2 linked regions of the Ovis aries genome follow. The protein of the gene in region 2 interacts with the protein of the main gene of each other region in a pairwise test. Links are inferred from orthologs where the notes say so. Each region holds a gene or a part of one and is shown on either strand. Other genes may lie near its edges.

Region 1 (7,028 bases), on a different chromosome or scaffold from region 2:
CTCCTCACCCTCCTTTCTCCAGGATAACCTTCCTCTCGTAGTCCTTCAGGTACATGGGTTGCACCTTCTTTCGCTTCTCAGCTGCCAGCTCCTCTTCGCTGTCTGAGGATGATACTGCAGGGCCACCACAAGACACCTGTCATCACCCACACCCACAACCCCCTTGCTCCCCCAGGCAGAGAATAACTGTGCTGGGCCAGAGTCAGACGGAGGTTTCAAATCCCCTAGCCACCAGTTCCCAGCTATCAAATAGGCATCACACTTGCTACTACCTGGTAATAGCTGGTGGTGATCACTCGGTGAGTAATTCACACTCAGAACAGTGCCAGACACACAGCCATTATTAGTAACAACAGGTCATAACCCTGGACACTCTTAGCTGATTAGTAATCAGTTTTTTTTTCTTTTGGCTGTGCTGCGTGGCCTGTGGGATCTTAGTTGCCCCACCAGGGATGGAAGTGCAGTCTTAACCTCTGGACGACCAAGGAAGTCCCTCTGCTAATCAGTTCTGACTTGTAGGTGAAAAAAAAAGTGAAAGTGTTAGTTGCTCAGTTGTGTCCTACTCTTTGCACCCTACGGACTGTAGCTTGCCAGACTCCTCTGTCCATGGGATTTCCCAGGCAATAATACTTGAGTCGGTAGCCATTCCCTTCTCCAGGGGATCTTCCTGACCCAAGGATTGAACCCAGGTATTGCAGGCAGACTCTTGACTGTCTGAGCCACCATGGAAAGATTCATTAAATAGCCACAACAGCTTCTAAGGCAGTGAGGACCCAGGATCCCATGAGAAGCAGCCCCAGACCTGTTTGCTGATAGAAGGTGGCATCTTTCTGATAAATGCGGGGGTCCTTCTTCTTCAACAAGGAGAGAGTCCTGTAAAAGTCACGCTCTTGCTGAGGGTCAAATTCCTAAAGCAGAAAAAGGGGGTGGGGACAGATTTCAGAAGCGGGCTGTGATGGGGGCAGTAAGCCACAGGGGCAGAAGGGCTGAGAGTGTGGGAATTAGGGTGTAGGGAGGGGTACAGGTTAGAAGATGGGAGAATCCAGCTGGGTAGAGGAAGGTTGGGGGAGGGCTGGAGGGCTGGATCTCAGTGGGAGGGAGGGTCAAGGGGACCCCGTGGGGGTGGACCACACACGAGTAGAGAATAGGAAGCAAAAAAAGGTAGCAGGCAAGGGGGTGGTGGTACTTCCTGGAATCAATACGGGATGGATGATACAGGGGCAGGTGGCAGCGAAGGCATATGAAAAACAAAGGAAGGGATGGATGGCTCAGTGAGTCTGGGAAGATCAGAGCTGGTGTGGGGAAAAGCTGGGTGCTCCACGTGGCAGAGGGATGCCCCATTTTGGGAACAGAGGCAGACAGGGAGAAATGGTTAGACTGTCAGGGATTGAAGGCGCAATGGGGTTGGAGGTTAGTTGCCCCTTGTAAGTCCGGGCCAGGATGAGACACGCCCCTGGACACCTCCCGCAACTCCGGAACGGAGGCGGAGAAGCTCACCACGTGCTCGTCGCTGGAATCAGATTCGGAGCTGGAGTCGCTGCCGCTGCGCCGGTCTCCGTAGCGATCTTTCACTGTGGGACAAAGATGCGAGCCCCCCACCCAGGTGAGCCTGGGGGACCAGATCAAGGCCCACCTGCAGACTCCCCAACAGGCGCCGGCTCCCCACGCGCATGCGCCCCGCACTCACGCCGCTGCAGCTCCTCTCGCTCACGGTAGCGGCCGTACCTCGCCGCAAACGCCGCGTTCACCCGCAGGGGCGACGACCCGCGCGGCTCCGGCATGGCTGCTCTCCGACCCACTGCGCACGCGTCAGGGAAGCACCGCCTCCCTGGAGGCGGGGCTACGCACAGTTTACTTTAAATAGGGGCGGAGCCTCCTGGGCCGCCCAGAACCTTGCCCCGGGCCCTTCCGGGATCCCTGGCCCTGGGACCGCAGTCCCCGCCCACGAGCCACGCCTCTGCGGGGAAGGCTGCAGCCACCGCCCATCCCACTCCCCCACCCTCGGGGCTCCCGGCACCCAGCTGACATCTGGGGGCCCTTTCTCCACTCGCGGTTTCCTGCCTCCCTTCCGTTCCGACAGCGTAAACCGCTGCCCCACCCAACTCACTCACCCCTGGCGCCCTGGGAATTACCACTCTCTCCCCTCCTCCAAAGCATCCACGATCCTCGACCCCCAGGGCCCATCCCCACAAACATCCAGGATACGCGACTCTCCATCGCGTATCAAAAATGACAAGCCACTAGAGCTGTGGTCATGCACAAGTCTTAATTTAATGGGTAAAAACATTAAATTACACACACAACAATATTTTCTATAAAGCTTAATAAATAGACTTTTTTTTAAACGCTGTACAAAGGGACTGGAAATGAAGCTTTCAACAAAATATTAATGAACTCATACTACCCTTTTATCGATTTGGAACACTCCCCCCTCCCCCATGCCGGAAAGCAGTGTGCACACTTGAGGTCTCTCTCCGTAAGCCGGCCAAGGTCGACAGGTTCCAAGAGCCTTGGAAGAGATGACCTCACTCCCTCACTCTCGAGGGCTGGGGTTTTAAACGCTCTGCCCTTGGGACTCAGTCTGTAGGCGTGGAGGAAACTGAACCGTTCAGGTGGCTGTTGCCTCTAGGAGCCCTTCTCTGCCCAACACACCGAAAGGGGTGAGAAAAAAAAACGAGAAATGCACGTCAAACACACACACCCCAGAAATCAACACCAACAAGCCACAAACCGGTGCCCCTCGGCCGCGGGCAGGAGGAGCAAAAGGAGAAAGTGTTTCTTCCCTCTTCTGACACAGAACTCAGCTGGGTCCTGCTGCTGGAGTGGGTGGCCCCAGGTCACAGGGGTGCCACTGTGTGCCGCTGCAGTATGTCCATGAGCTCTTGGGCCCCTCTCCCCCGTGCCAGCTCTAGGGGTGTGAGCCCCCTGGCGTCCCTGTGATGGAGATCAGACTCGGCAGCCAGGAAGCTGACCACAGGGGTGTGGCCCTCTCTCACTGCCAGGTGGATGGGGAGCGCCCCGGTGCCATCGGGTGCGTTGACATCGGCACCGTGCTCCACCAGCACTTTTAGGGTGTCAAGGAATCCAGTGCGGGCTGCATCGTGGGCCGGAGTGGTGCCCGAGGCGTCCTGGACGTTGGGGCTGGCGCCTTGCTTCAGGAGTTCCAGGGCAATGGTGGGACTGCCGAACATCATGACCTGGTGGGGGGATGGGGGTAGAGAAGGGTCAGGGAGTCTCCAAAGGAGGAGGTCTGGGGAAACGGGTGACTGGAGAGAGGGGTTGACAATGCCAGATACAAGGTTCTCAAGAGAAGGAAAAACTCCGGGGAACAAAAACTTTCAGGCAGCTGTTGAGACCCCAGAGAACAAGATCTCCCGGGAATAAGGAACTTCAAAAAACTGGTCACCCCCCGCCCCCCGCTAGGGTATACCCCCGTGGAAATTTTGAAGGAAACTAAGACCCTCCCCCAAGGAACCAGAGACACTTCTCCCCACAGATGGGAAATCATCAGGAACTATGAACCCCACCAGGAAACAGACCTCAGAGAACAGTCCCCTCCAGGAAATGGAGATGGCCAGGGAATTTAAAACTCCTCCAAGGAATTTCCCCCTCCCATATAGTAGGGATCCTTTCTGATGAAATGGGGTTCCCCTTTTGTAAATGTCCCCAAGGGAACACGGACTCCCATGTAATCTGTGACTACTCCCTTATTGGTATCCCCCTCCCCAAATATGCCAGTAAGAAAACCCCGCGGGAATAGAGATTCTCCCCCACAGGAAACTGGATACCTCGCAGAGAACCCCCTGAAAATGGGTACACCTTGGAAACAGGAATCCTTCCTTCCTGCGGTCGGATCGTCCATAGATGCTCCAAGACATTGGAGCTGCCCTCATGAAACTCGGATCCAAAGAAGGTGAACCCTCACCCAGGGAATAAGAACTTCTCCAGGGAAACTGAATCCTTCGCAATCAGAGAACAAGGAATCCTCCAAAGATGGAAAGCTCTCCCCTCCCCCCAACCTAACCCCATCCACCACCCACCTAAGAAAGGGGACATTAGGGAGCCAAGTCAGCCCAGAGACGCAGGAACAGACCTCAGTCGGCTACCAACGGGAACAAGGAGAGAAGAGGGAAGGGGTCTGCGGGCCTGCCCGGGCTCACCTGCAGCGCCGTCTTGCCAAAGCGGTTCAGAACGTCTGGGTGCACCAGCTCGCGGTGCAGAAGGCGGCGCACCTCCTGCACGTCTCCTCGGGCCGCCGCCCCGCTCAGCCGGTCGCCGGCGTGGACCTCTTCCAGCAGCATGTCGATACTGGCGGCCTGCGAAGCCCCCCGCCCCACCCCGCGGCGGTCAGTGAGGGGGAGCCCACCGGCGCTAGCCCGAACAGCCCTCCCGCAGCGTCGCCGGCCTGCAAAGAGGTCGGACTCTCCTGTCCGGGTCTCGGGCGCGACCCCCGCCCTCCCGGCCGGCTCCTCCCCCTGTCAGCCGGTGGGTAGAGAGGGGCTGAGAGCCCAGGCCCAACCCTCCGCTAGCCCGCTGGGCCCTGCCCGGCGCCCGCCCCTTGGGGGCCGGGTCTCCCCCCAACTCACCCTCCCTCCTCCTCTTCGGGCGGGGTCTGTTCTGAGCCAGCGTCTCCGCCGCTGCGGAGCAGGCCGCTAGGGGGCGGAGCCAGAGCTCTCGCGGCCCCGCCCCCAAACTCCGCGGATTTGTTTTCTTATGAACTTGCTACGTTGTAGCCCAGCTGCGATGCCCGGCTCCCGACCCTGTAGTGCTCCGCCCTCCTTGCCAGCGCAGCCAATGGCCACGCGTTGCCAGGGAGGCTTTGGGCGCCGGCGTGGGCGGGCCCGCTTCTGATTGGACGAACTGCGGCGACCGGTGAACCGCGAACAATGGCGGGGTTTTCGGTTTTTCAAAAGCGACGGGCGGGCGGGAAAGAGGGCCCGTTTAACTGACCCAGGGGAGAAAGGTCAGGCGCAGGGTAGCGCGGGCTGCTCCGGGACCTCGGCACTTCCGAGGGAAAAGGAGGCAGGGCTGGGACCGCCCAGTTTGGAGTTATGCGGTGCGATAATATTCGTTAGTTCTTACTGTGCAAAGTGCTTTATTTCATTCACTCACTGTGTGCTGGAGCCGTTCCTGGCGCTGGGGGTCCTGCATTCGAGCTACTGAGTAATTTTAGTGTTAAGCACCGTGAGGAAAATAAAGCATGGAAATGGGGTGAGTGAAAAAGGAATCACGTTTGGCTCAGATTGCGCCAGCCCTGGCACAGCAAATGCAAGGGTGTGGAAGAAAGTTCATTCACCAGCTGCCACGTGGGTGAGACTGGGAGGCGAGAGTCGCGTCGCAGGCTCTTAACAGAGGCCTTCAATAGCGGGGCCTTCACACATTTACCGACCTGCTACTGTGTACTATGCACCCCAGTAGAAAGCAAGCCAGGTGCCTCCTGACTGTTGGATACTTACCTTTTAGAGCTGGAGACGACAATAAATATTTTCAGAGTGCTATACACTGTGGAGCTGACAAAATGAGATAAATAATGGTGTCTTGGGAAAAGAAGGCTTTGAAATAGAGAGGTCGGGCATGGCCACCCTAAGAAGGTGACATTTGATTTGAGACCTGAAGGTGAGGGAAGGAGCCGTGTGTCTCTCAGGAAAAACATACCAGGTGGAGGCGCTACAGATTCCAAGGCCCTGAGCTGTAACCATGTCTAGTAAGTCCAGGAAGAGCGAGGTATAGAGAGGGAGAGAAGGGGGAGGAGGTGAGGGGTGAACAGGTGTGTGGGCTGTGGTGAGCACTTTTACTTTTTAAAAAGAATGGGGAATTTCCCTGGCGGTCCAGTGGTTAAGACTCCGCGCATCTGCTGCAGGGGGTCCAGGTTCAATCCCTGGTCGGGGAACTACGGTCCCTCAAGCTGCTCAAAACGACAGAAATCAATGGGTGGAACCCTGGGAAGCTTCTGTATTGAGGAGCCACGGTCTAGTTTAGGAGTTAATAGGCGCCCTCTGGTGGCTATGATGGGAACTGGCTGTCATGGGAGAGGGAAGCCCAGAGCCTGGGAGCCCAAGGTGGGAGCAATTGCGAGGGCCCAGCTGAGAGATGACCAGGGCTGAGAAATGGATATGTTGCCCACTCTTTTCCCAGCACCCCAGGGGCACCTCTGACATCCCCAGCCCCCAGCCAAAAAGTACATAACAGCAGCTAGATTCATCTTTTTAATGCCATCCTAAAACTCAGAAATGGACCAGTGGGGCCTCTGGGCTCAGCAGCTGTGGAGGAGGGACTCCCCACGCCTCCTAAGGCAGGTCACTGCAAAAAGGCACTCATGAGGGGGACTTCAAGCCCCTCTTCTATTTCTTCATATAAAACTGGGGGAGGGGGAGGGGTGAGAGTCTGAGAGCTGGAGATTATCACTCCCAGCCTACCAGTAAAGGAAATGGGTAGGAGCAAGTCAGGTGCTGGGAGTAACAAACCAGTAATTCAAGAGCTGCCCTCACACACACACACCCCGTCTTCCCTCCTTCTTTAGTGGAGGCTGCAGTGGGGCCTGGGGAGAAGACAGCCCAGGTTCAGGCCCCCACTTCTCCCTTCTAGCTGGTACGAAGTTGATAATCTGTAGGGAAACAATGAGCAGGGACCATCTCAGAATTGGGGGAAGGAGACAGGACAGCACCCCCACCCACAACCCATCCCCTTCCCCAGTGCTCATGATCAACCCCACAAGTTTGTAACAGGGCTAAGGATGGGCTCAAACATGGCGACTGTAACCACAGCAACATGCCTGTCTCCAGGCAACAGACGGGGCTGCTGTGTGTTCAGTTGCTTATCCAAACCCCACCACCACCACCCTGGAACTGGCAACTGTCCCCATTTTAAAGATAGGCAAACCGAGACTCGGGAGGGCACACTGACAAAGATAGGATAGACCTGAGGGCCACGCCTGTCGGTTTTGGAGCTCTCTGAGACAAGATGTTTCAAAGCCCCAAGACCATGCCCATTCATCTCCTTGTCCCTGTCATCTCAGGGAGCCGGGCCAC
Region 2 (7,213 bases):
GTCCTCCCCCAGATTTCAGACATTCAACTCCTAACTTCAGGGCTTCCCTGGTGGCTCAGTGGTGAAGAATCCACCTGCCAATGCAGGGGACATGGGTTTGATCCCTGATCCGGGAAGATCCCACACGTAGCAGCCCCACCCCTGAGCCTGCGCTCTAGAGCCTGGGAGCCACGACTACTGAAGCCCACTCGCTCGAGAGCCTGTGCTTCCCAACAAGAGACGGCACCACAACGAGAAGCTTGAGCACTGCACCCAGAAAGTAGCCCCCAGCCTCTGAAACTAGAGAAAAATCCGTGCATCAACAAAGACCCAGCACAGCCTATATATATATATAAACTGTTATAAGAAAAGAACCCTCACTTTCAATAAGATGGTATTTGGAGGTGGGGGTCTGTGGGAGTTAAGTCATGAGGATGGAGCCCTCTTGAATGGGATTAGTGTCCTCATAAAAAAGACCCCAGTGAGGCCCTTCATTCCTTCCACCTTAAGCGGGGCCTCACAAGACACCAAATCTGCCTCTGACTTGATCTTGGACTTCCCAGCCTCCAGAAATAAATGTTCATTGTTTAAGTCACTGAGTCCATGGTATTTCTATTATAGCGGCATGAGCAGACTAAGACAGGACATATATGTGTTATGTGTATAATGAATAGCGTGCTCCTGCTCAGTCGCATCAGTCGTGTCCAACTCTTTGGGATCCCATGGACTGTAGCCCACCAGCTCCTCTGCCCATGGGATTCTCCAGGCAAGAACACTGGAGTGGGTTGCCATGCCTTCCTCCAGGGCATCCTCCGGACCCAAGATTGATCCTGAGTCTCTCGCGTCTCCTGCACAGCATTACAGCTGAGCCACAGGGGAAGACCATATATGCACATATGTATATGTTTACAACTATATGTTTCTCTAACATAGATTATAATCTTAAATCCTCAAAATAATGCGCACTGGTGGACTCATTTATTTTGCAAATAAAGCAATGGAGATTCCGGAGTGTAGCTGACTTGCCTGAGGCTGCCCCACTCCAGGTACCAGAGTTAGGCTTCAATCCTGTCCAACTAGCCCCAGGGAGGCCTACAAGACACTGCCCTCTTCTGTCTCCACCTCCCGGCATCTCTTTGAAAGCTGAACTCAGAGGGCAGAGCATCACTTTGTTTGACCTTAGCTGGGAACATGTGCTGCTGGTGACTCAAACTTTTGCCGCTCTGAACTTGTCCACAAATACCCAGAAAGCGCAGTGGGATTCTGAGGTTACAACCCACACCCCCACCAAGTAGGTGAGTTCACAAATACAAAATCTGTGAATAAATGAGTATTAACTATATCTGCCTCTTATTGTCTATTTCCTTACTTTACAATGTGAATCCCATGAGGACAGGAAGTGAAAGTCGCTCAGTGGCGTCCGACTCTTTGTGACCCCATGGACTATAGAGTCCATGGAATTCTCCAGGCCAGAATACTGGAGTGGGTACCCTTTCCCTTCTCCAGGGGAATCTTCCCAACACAGGGATCAAACCCAGGTCTCTTGCATTGCAGGCAAGATTCTTTACCAACTGAGCTATGAAGACAGGAAAGCTTGGTGGATTTTGCTCACTGCTAAATCTCCAGTCCCTAGGACAGAAGGTGGAGTGCAGTAGATGCTCAAGAAATATCTGCCAAATGGATCAAGCACACGGAGAGAAAGGAGGAGTATATCTTTAAATCCTTACAAGAGGACAGTGCAGCCCAGAAAGAGGAAGTCAATTGCTCATCGTTGCCCAGCCAAGAAGAAAGGCTTCTTTCTACCACAGTGTGTGATTCCAGTCCAATCAGTTCGCCTCTCTGAGTCTCAGTTTAGCAATATGAGGCATTGTTATAAAGGGTAGTCATTAAGTGGATGGCAATTTCTCTTCAAAGCCTCCACACCAAGCCCTAGAAACCATGTGTGGAGAATACATCTTCCCAGTATTGGAAAAAGAGAAGGGCCATCAGCCTTGCTTCCTAGATAAGAAACAGGCTACAAGATGGAAGTTATTCATCCAAGACAGTTCCCATAATTATGAGGCTGAGCAGTTACACTGTTCAGCACAACGACCCTATAACGATGATGAGAATGGTCATTTTCATTTTAGAAATGTAGAAATGGATGCAGATAGGACTAAGGGCACAGGCTGGGGAGCACACAGCAGGGGTAGAGCCAGGCTTGGGGTGAGAAGTCAGGAGGTGGGTTGACACCAGTGGGGAACGGCCCTCAGGCCTCATGACTCACGGTAGCCAGCATTATTGACTATGCAATCCAGGTGGCCGAATCGGCGGATGGTCTCAGAAACGAGGGTCTGGGGAGAGAGAGGTCTTCTGAGTGAGTGGTGCTGGCATCAGGTCTTATAGAGCCAGGGGTCCCAAAGGTGAGGTGGGGACAGGAGTCACAGCTGAGGGGCTGGAGCCCAGCGGGCTGGTGACATTCACACTGTGGTCACTACCCTAGAGACCCGGGACTGGAGACAGATGTCAGAGATACTGACTAGACGGAAGGAATGGAAAGTGAGGAAAGAGAAAAGAATCCTGCAAGAATGAGACCCCCTGTGAGGAATGTATTTGTCCCAATCCCCGTGACAGCTGTGACAGAGCCTTGAAAGAGCGGGAGGTAAAAGCAAATCCTCCCAGGAGACACAAGACCTGGTCAGTACAGTTAGGGAGAGCCTTGAAGAGATACTGAGCTGAACCGGGAAAGGCAGAGGGAACACCAGTGCAAAAGCCTTCGAGGCGGCCAGGGGAGGGGGTCGGTGGGGAGAGAGAACCAACTGGACATGGCGGGTAGTAGAGACAGAAAATACACTCACCCTCACATCTTCCTCCCGAGTCACGTCACAGCGCAGAAAGACAGTGCCAGGCAGCTCTCGCTCCACCGCCCTGCCCCTGGCCTCTGCGGGAAGAGAAGGGCTGGGGGTCTGGACTTCAGAGTCTGAGGGAGGAGGGGGCTGGGAGGCCGAATCCTGGGTCTGAGGGAGGAGGAAGCCAGGGGTTTGGACTCCTGGGTCTATCAGAGGAGGGGTCTGGGGGCCTGGAATCCCCCTGGAGGGTTGGGGATGAGGACTGAGGGACCCTCACTCACCATCTTTGTCACAGATAACCACCTGGGCACCGCTTTCCACTGAGAATAAGAAAGAAGAGGTTACCCCCAGCCGACCTTGGCGAAGGCCTCTGCTGCCCTCTAGGGGCCACTTACAGCGGGTTGGGCCCGTCTCCCACTCTGCTCCCCTCGTGACCCCAAAGTCTCATGATGACTCCCTAGGACAGAGGGCAGAAGTTTTGACAGATACTCTTCTGGGTTATTCTAGGTGCCTGTTGGGGCTCCTGAGTCTGCCTTCCTGGGTTCCAGAGTAAACCCGAAATCTGCAAGAGACATCGTCCCCCAAACTGCCTGTTTTGCAGAGACAGCTGAGACCACAGAAACGGTGTTTGGAAACCTGCCAAAATCTCAGGCCCTAGGCAACTACCGCCTACCTTTTCGTTCACTTTGCAAATAGGATCTTGTAAGATAAGAATCTAGACTCCAGTATAGGACCTACTTTTTCTCACACCCATTAGTTAGCCCTCGGAGGCCCGTCCTCTCCCAGATTCCCAACATTTAGACCCAGCCAGACCCCACTCACCGAAAGCTCGAACGATCGCGGCTCCTATGCCGCGACCGCCGCCGGTCACGATGACCACCTTCCCAGCATAGCGCGTTCCCATTGCCATTCTGCCGGACACCGCCTCTCCTCTTTCACTCACTCCGGGCTTCTGTCCACCTCCAAAATCGGGTGAGGTAGTGGGGTCAAATCGTAAACAGGGGCCGGATCCTGGAAGCCCGGCCCTGAGGGTGGGGGTGGGGGGCGTTGCCAGGAAAGCCAGAAGCCTGGAAGCCTGGTCCCTCCCTCAGATCCAAGAGTCTGGATGCCCAGACCTTCTTCCCTCAAGTTCAGGATTCCTGGCATCCGGCCGCCCTCTGCCCTCGGACCTAAATGTCCAGGTCCCTCGTCTTCCTTCAGACGCAAGAATCCAGGTCCCCATCCCCCTCTTCCCTCAGGCCCAGTACTCCGGACCCTGAGATTTCCTCCTCCCTCAGACCTACAAGTCCAAGGTCCCGGTCCCCTCCTCCTTTGCGACCCAGAAATCCACGACCCCAGCTCTACCCCCACTCAGAGACACCAGAGTCACAACCTCAAACAGACAAAAAGTTATTGACTAAAAAGTTCAAAGTTTTAATCTAAATTTGGACAAGTGTCGGGAAAAGCAAACTTTGGCCACAGAAACCACTTCTAGGTCACGGGAGAACAGAGGCTGCAGATCTTCAGGTGGTCCCGCCAGGCCACGCCCTCACGCTCTGATTGGCTGCCACGTCTGGGCGCGTCAGAAGCTGGACTGCAGCAGGGTGACCCTCAGAGGCCACGCCCCCTCGTCAGGGGTCAGGGCGGGAGGGGCCGGCCCGGAATCCCAGGTCTCTTCCCAGGAGGCGGGGCCTGCGCCGCGCCCACTACCTCTGGGGGAGAAACCCGTGGAGCAGGAATTGGCTGTTGGAGATCTTCGGGGTGAGGACGCCTGGGGCATGGGATCTGACGGAGGTGGCGGCGCAGGGGGGAGAGGGTCCCCTCGAGAGTCCAAATTTCCACCTGGAGAGGACGGATGGGAAATGAGAATGGCAAACTCAGGAATCCAGAAGTCCAGACACCGCCCTCCGCCCCCAGGCCTTTCCTCTCAAACCTAGGAGTCCGGCCTCCCTGCCCCCTGCTCTCCCAAACTCAGCACTTTTGCACCTTAGCCCCCTCCTGCCTGGAATCTAGCACTCCCAAGCCCTGTCCAGGTCTTCCCTCATCAAGACAAAGGATTCCCAGGGGCCCTCAGACCCCTCCCCATCACGACCTGAGATTCCAGACCTCCGACCCGCCCCCCCCCTCCTCATCCCTAAAACCTAGGAGTCCTAAGTCCCCAGCTCATTCTCACCTGTCATCATTCCGCGCCACTGCGATGCCTCAGCGGCCAGGGCTTGAGAGAGGCTGAGGACTCGCTCCCGGTGCCCTTCGGATGTCAGCAAATAAGGGGTGGTGTTTCTTGGACTAGAAAAAGAGAGTTTGGGCGAAACTTCGATTAGCCAGTACAGTAGAGGCCACAGTGCCGCGCGTGTCCTTCTGGGAGTTGTAGTCCCTAGCACGTGTCTCTAAAGGATTTTAAACGTGGAGCGACCCTCTTTTTTTAGAAGCCCGCGTGCATTGTGGGATTTGTAGTTCAGTTGCCCGAAAATTTCTCCGATTTCCTGACAGCGGGGCGGAGTTTGATATAGAACAAGGAACTGCAGTTCTCCCCGCGAACTAGAGTTTTCTGATTCCCCAAGAACTCAAGCGACTCTAAAAGATTCTGCGATCTGTACTTTAGTACTCAAAAGACATTAACAGTAACACTATTCCCCTTCTCTTTTTTATTTCCCTTCGTTGTTGCCTCGATCTCCAATTCCTTACCTGCTCCAGGACCCCGAACTTCGGAGCCATTTCTGGGTTCCTGAGTGTCCCAGGACAGGCTGCAAAGGAATGGGGGCATTAGAATTCCTCACCCTGGAAGTTCCCATGTTCTCATTTTGAGGGTGAAGAGGCTCAGAGGATAAAATTGCCCCAAAGACACTAATTCTTAACTTTACCTGAACTCCTGGGAAAGAGGGAAGAGTTTGGAAAATTACCACCCTCCCAACCACTTCCCCACGCCTTTTTGCATTCTGGTAAACAGCTTCTTCATATGACTTAGATAAGCCTGAATGATGTGAAATTGATATTTTAAGACAGGACAGGAAAATTAAAGATCAAAGTCTCTCTGCGCGCTTGTTTGGGGCTCCTCCATCCCTAATGTGCAGTGTACACCAGGATTACACATTAGCCAGAGCTCCTCAGAGTTGGCAGTGCTTGCTCTGTTCTGAAGATCATTTCTTTTTTCCCTTTCTTCTGACACTACCAGTGTAACTTCTTAAAAGAACAGCTTCTTTCACAGTTCTGCAGGGGGTCACAGTAACTTGCTGCTGGCTTCGCATGTGCTTCCCTAGACTATGTATCCTTGGTGAAGCTTAGGTAAAATATCACTATGTTATTTGCTTCTTTGTTTGTTTTAAATTGTCTGGCTGCATCAAGTCTTAGTTGTGGCACTTGGGATCTTAGTTGCATCACGTGGGATCTTTTGTCACAGTGCATGGGGCTTCCCTGACAGCTTAGTGGTAAGAATCTGCCTGCCAACGCAGGAGACTTACTTGCTCAACAGAGATGTGGGTTCCATCCCTGGGTCAGGAAGATTGCCTGGAAGGCTATAGTCCATGGGGTTGCAAAAGAGTCGTACATGACTCAGCAACTAAACAACAGCAGATTGTGTAGTTGTGGCGCACAGGCTTAGTTGCCCAGAGACATGTGGGATCTTAGTTCCCAGACCAGGTATCAAACCCTCGTCCCCTGCATTGCAAGGCAAATTCTTAACCACTGGTCTGCCAGGAAAGTCCTGTCAGTATGTCATTTTGATGTTCGATCTTTTGTCTGGAAAACAGACACGAGTGTGCCTCTTGACTTCTAACAGATGGTGAAACAGTTCTCAGAACTTTCTGAGAGTCTCTCTCCCAAGTTCTAATTCTGTTTGGCTCAAATAAAAGTCCCCTTTTTTCTTGTTAACTTGATTTTAATAGAATTTTCATCGACAAGATTCACAGATGAGCCCCCTGTGACGAGGCCAGAAACAGACCCTCCAAATTCACATTCCTTTTGTCATAAATGATTAATGAACTTGTTGCCCCCGAAAAACTAGCTAGACATAGAGATCAATGTTTGATATTCAGCAGACTTGAGATGCCCCCCATTTACAAAAACAATCACAACCCCAAAATCACCCCACTTGTCTAATTCCTTCCTAGAAGAGTCTTAAGATGAAACTATCCATGGGGAATTCCCTGGTGGTCCAGCAGGTAGGGCTCCGCACTCCCACGGCCAAGTCCTCAAACATGGACTGAACCCAAGCCCTAAAATCCCACAAGCTGCGCAGTGGCACAGCCCAAAACGAAAAAACAAGTGAAAAAACCATCCTGCCCAGACAGTCTGATCTTCAGATTGGCAGTGTGATCTCCATGGCAGTAAATACATTTTTTTTTTCTTTGCCTTTGATAGCATAGTAACTGAACAGGAAAACTTGGCTTCCAATCCAGCTCTAAAACCCACTCCTCCCAGAGGAGTGAGAA

Evidence for each region.
Region 1: the proteins of HSD17B14 (region 2) and CDKN2D interact in binary tests that used the Homo sapiens proteins (3 or more experiments, as listed by UniProt). The two-hybrid records come from large-scale screens. The link is inferred for Ovis aries from reciprocal best matches to the Homo sapiens genes HSD17B14 and CDKN2D.

The regions. Positions count from the first base shown.
Region 1 is NC_056058.1:12,921,234-12,928,261, forward strand, and holds CDKN2D (cyclin-dependent kinase 4 inhibitor D), read right to left. Parts: upstream 4,640-7,028; 5' UTR 4,587-4,639; intron 4,317-4,586; 5' UTR 4,302-4,316; coding exon 4,161-4,301; intron 3,198-4,160; coding exon 2,838-3,197; 3' UTR 2,248-2,837; downstream 1-2,247. Other genes in the region: protein KRI1 homolog, read right to left, coding at 9-114, 803-908, 1,498-1,571, 1,688-1,781. UniProt on the Homo sapiens protein: Interacts strongly with CDK4 and CDK6 and inhibits them.
Region 2 is NC_056067.1:55,185,204-55,192,416, forward strand, and holds the start of HSD17B14 (17-beta-hydroxysteroid dehydrogenase 14), read right to left. Parts: upstream 4,206-7,213; 5' UTR 4,091-4,205; exon of another isoform or gene 3,768-4,090; 5' UTR 3,718-3,767; coding exon 3,630-3,717; intron 3,128-3,629; coding exon 3,089-3,127; intron 2,900-3,088; coding exon 2,817-2,899; intron 2,313-2,816; coding exon 2,246-2,312; intron 1-2,245. Other genes in the region: PLEKHA4 (pleckstrin homology domain-containing family A member 4), read right to left, coding at 4,369-4,628, 4,960-5,072, 5,472-5,530. UniProt on the Homo sapiens protein: Catalyzes the NAD(+)-dependent oxidation of L-fucose, yielding L-fucono-1,5-lactone, which rapidly converts spontaneously to L-fucone-1,4-lactone. Can also act on D-arabinose and L-galactose, with lower catalytic efficiency. Does not use NADPH.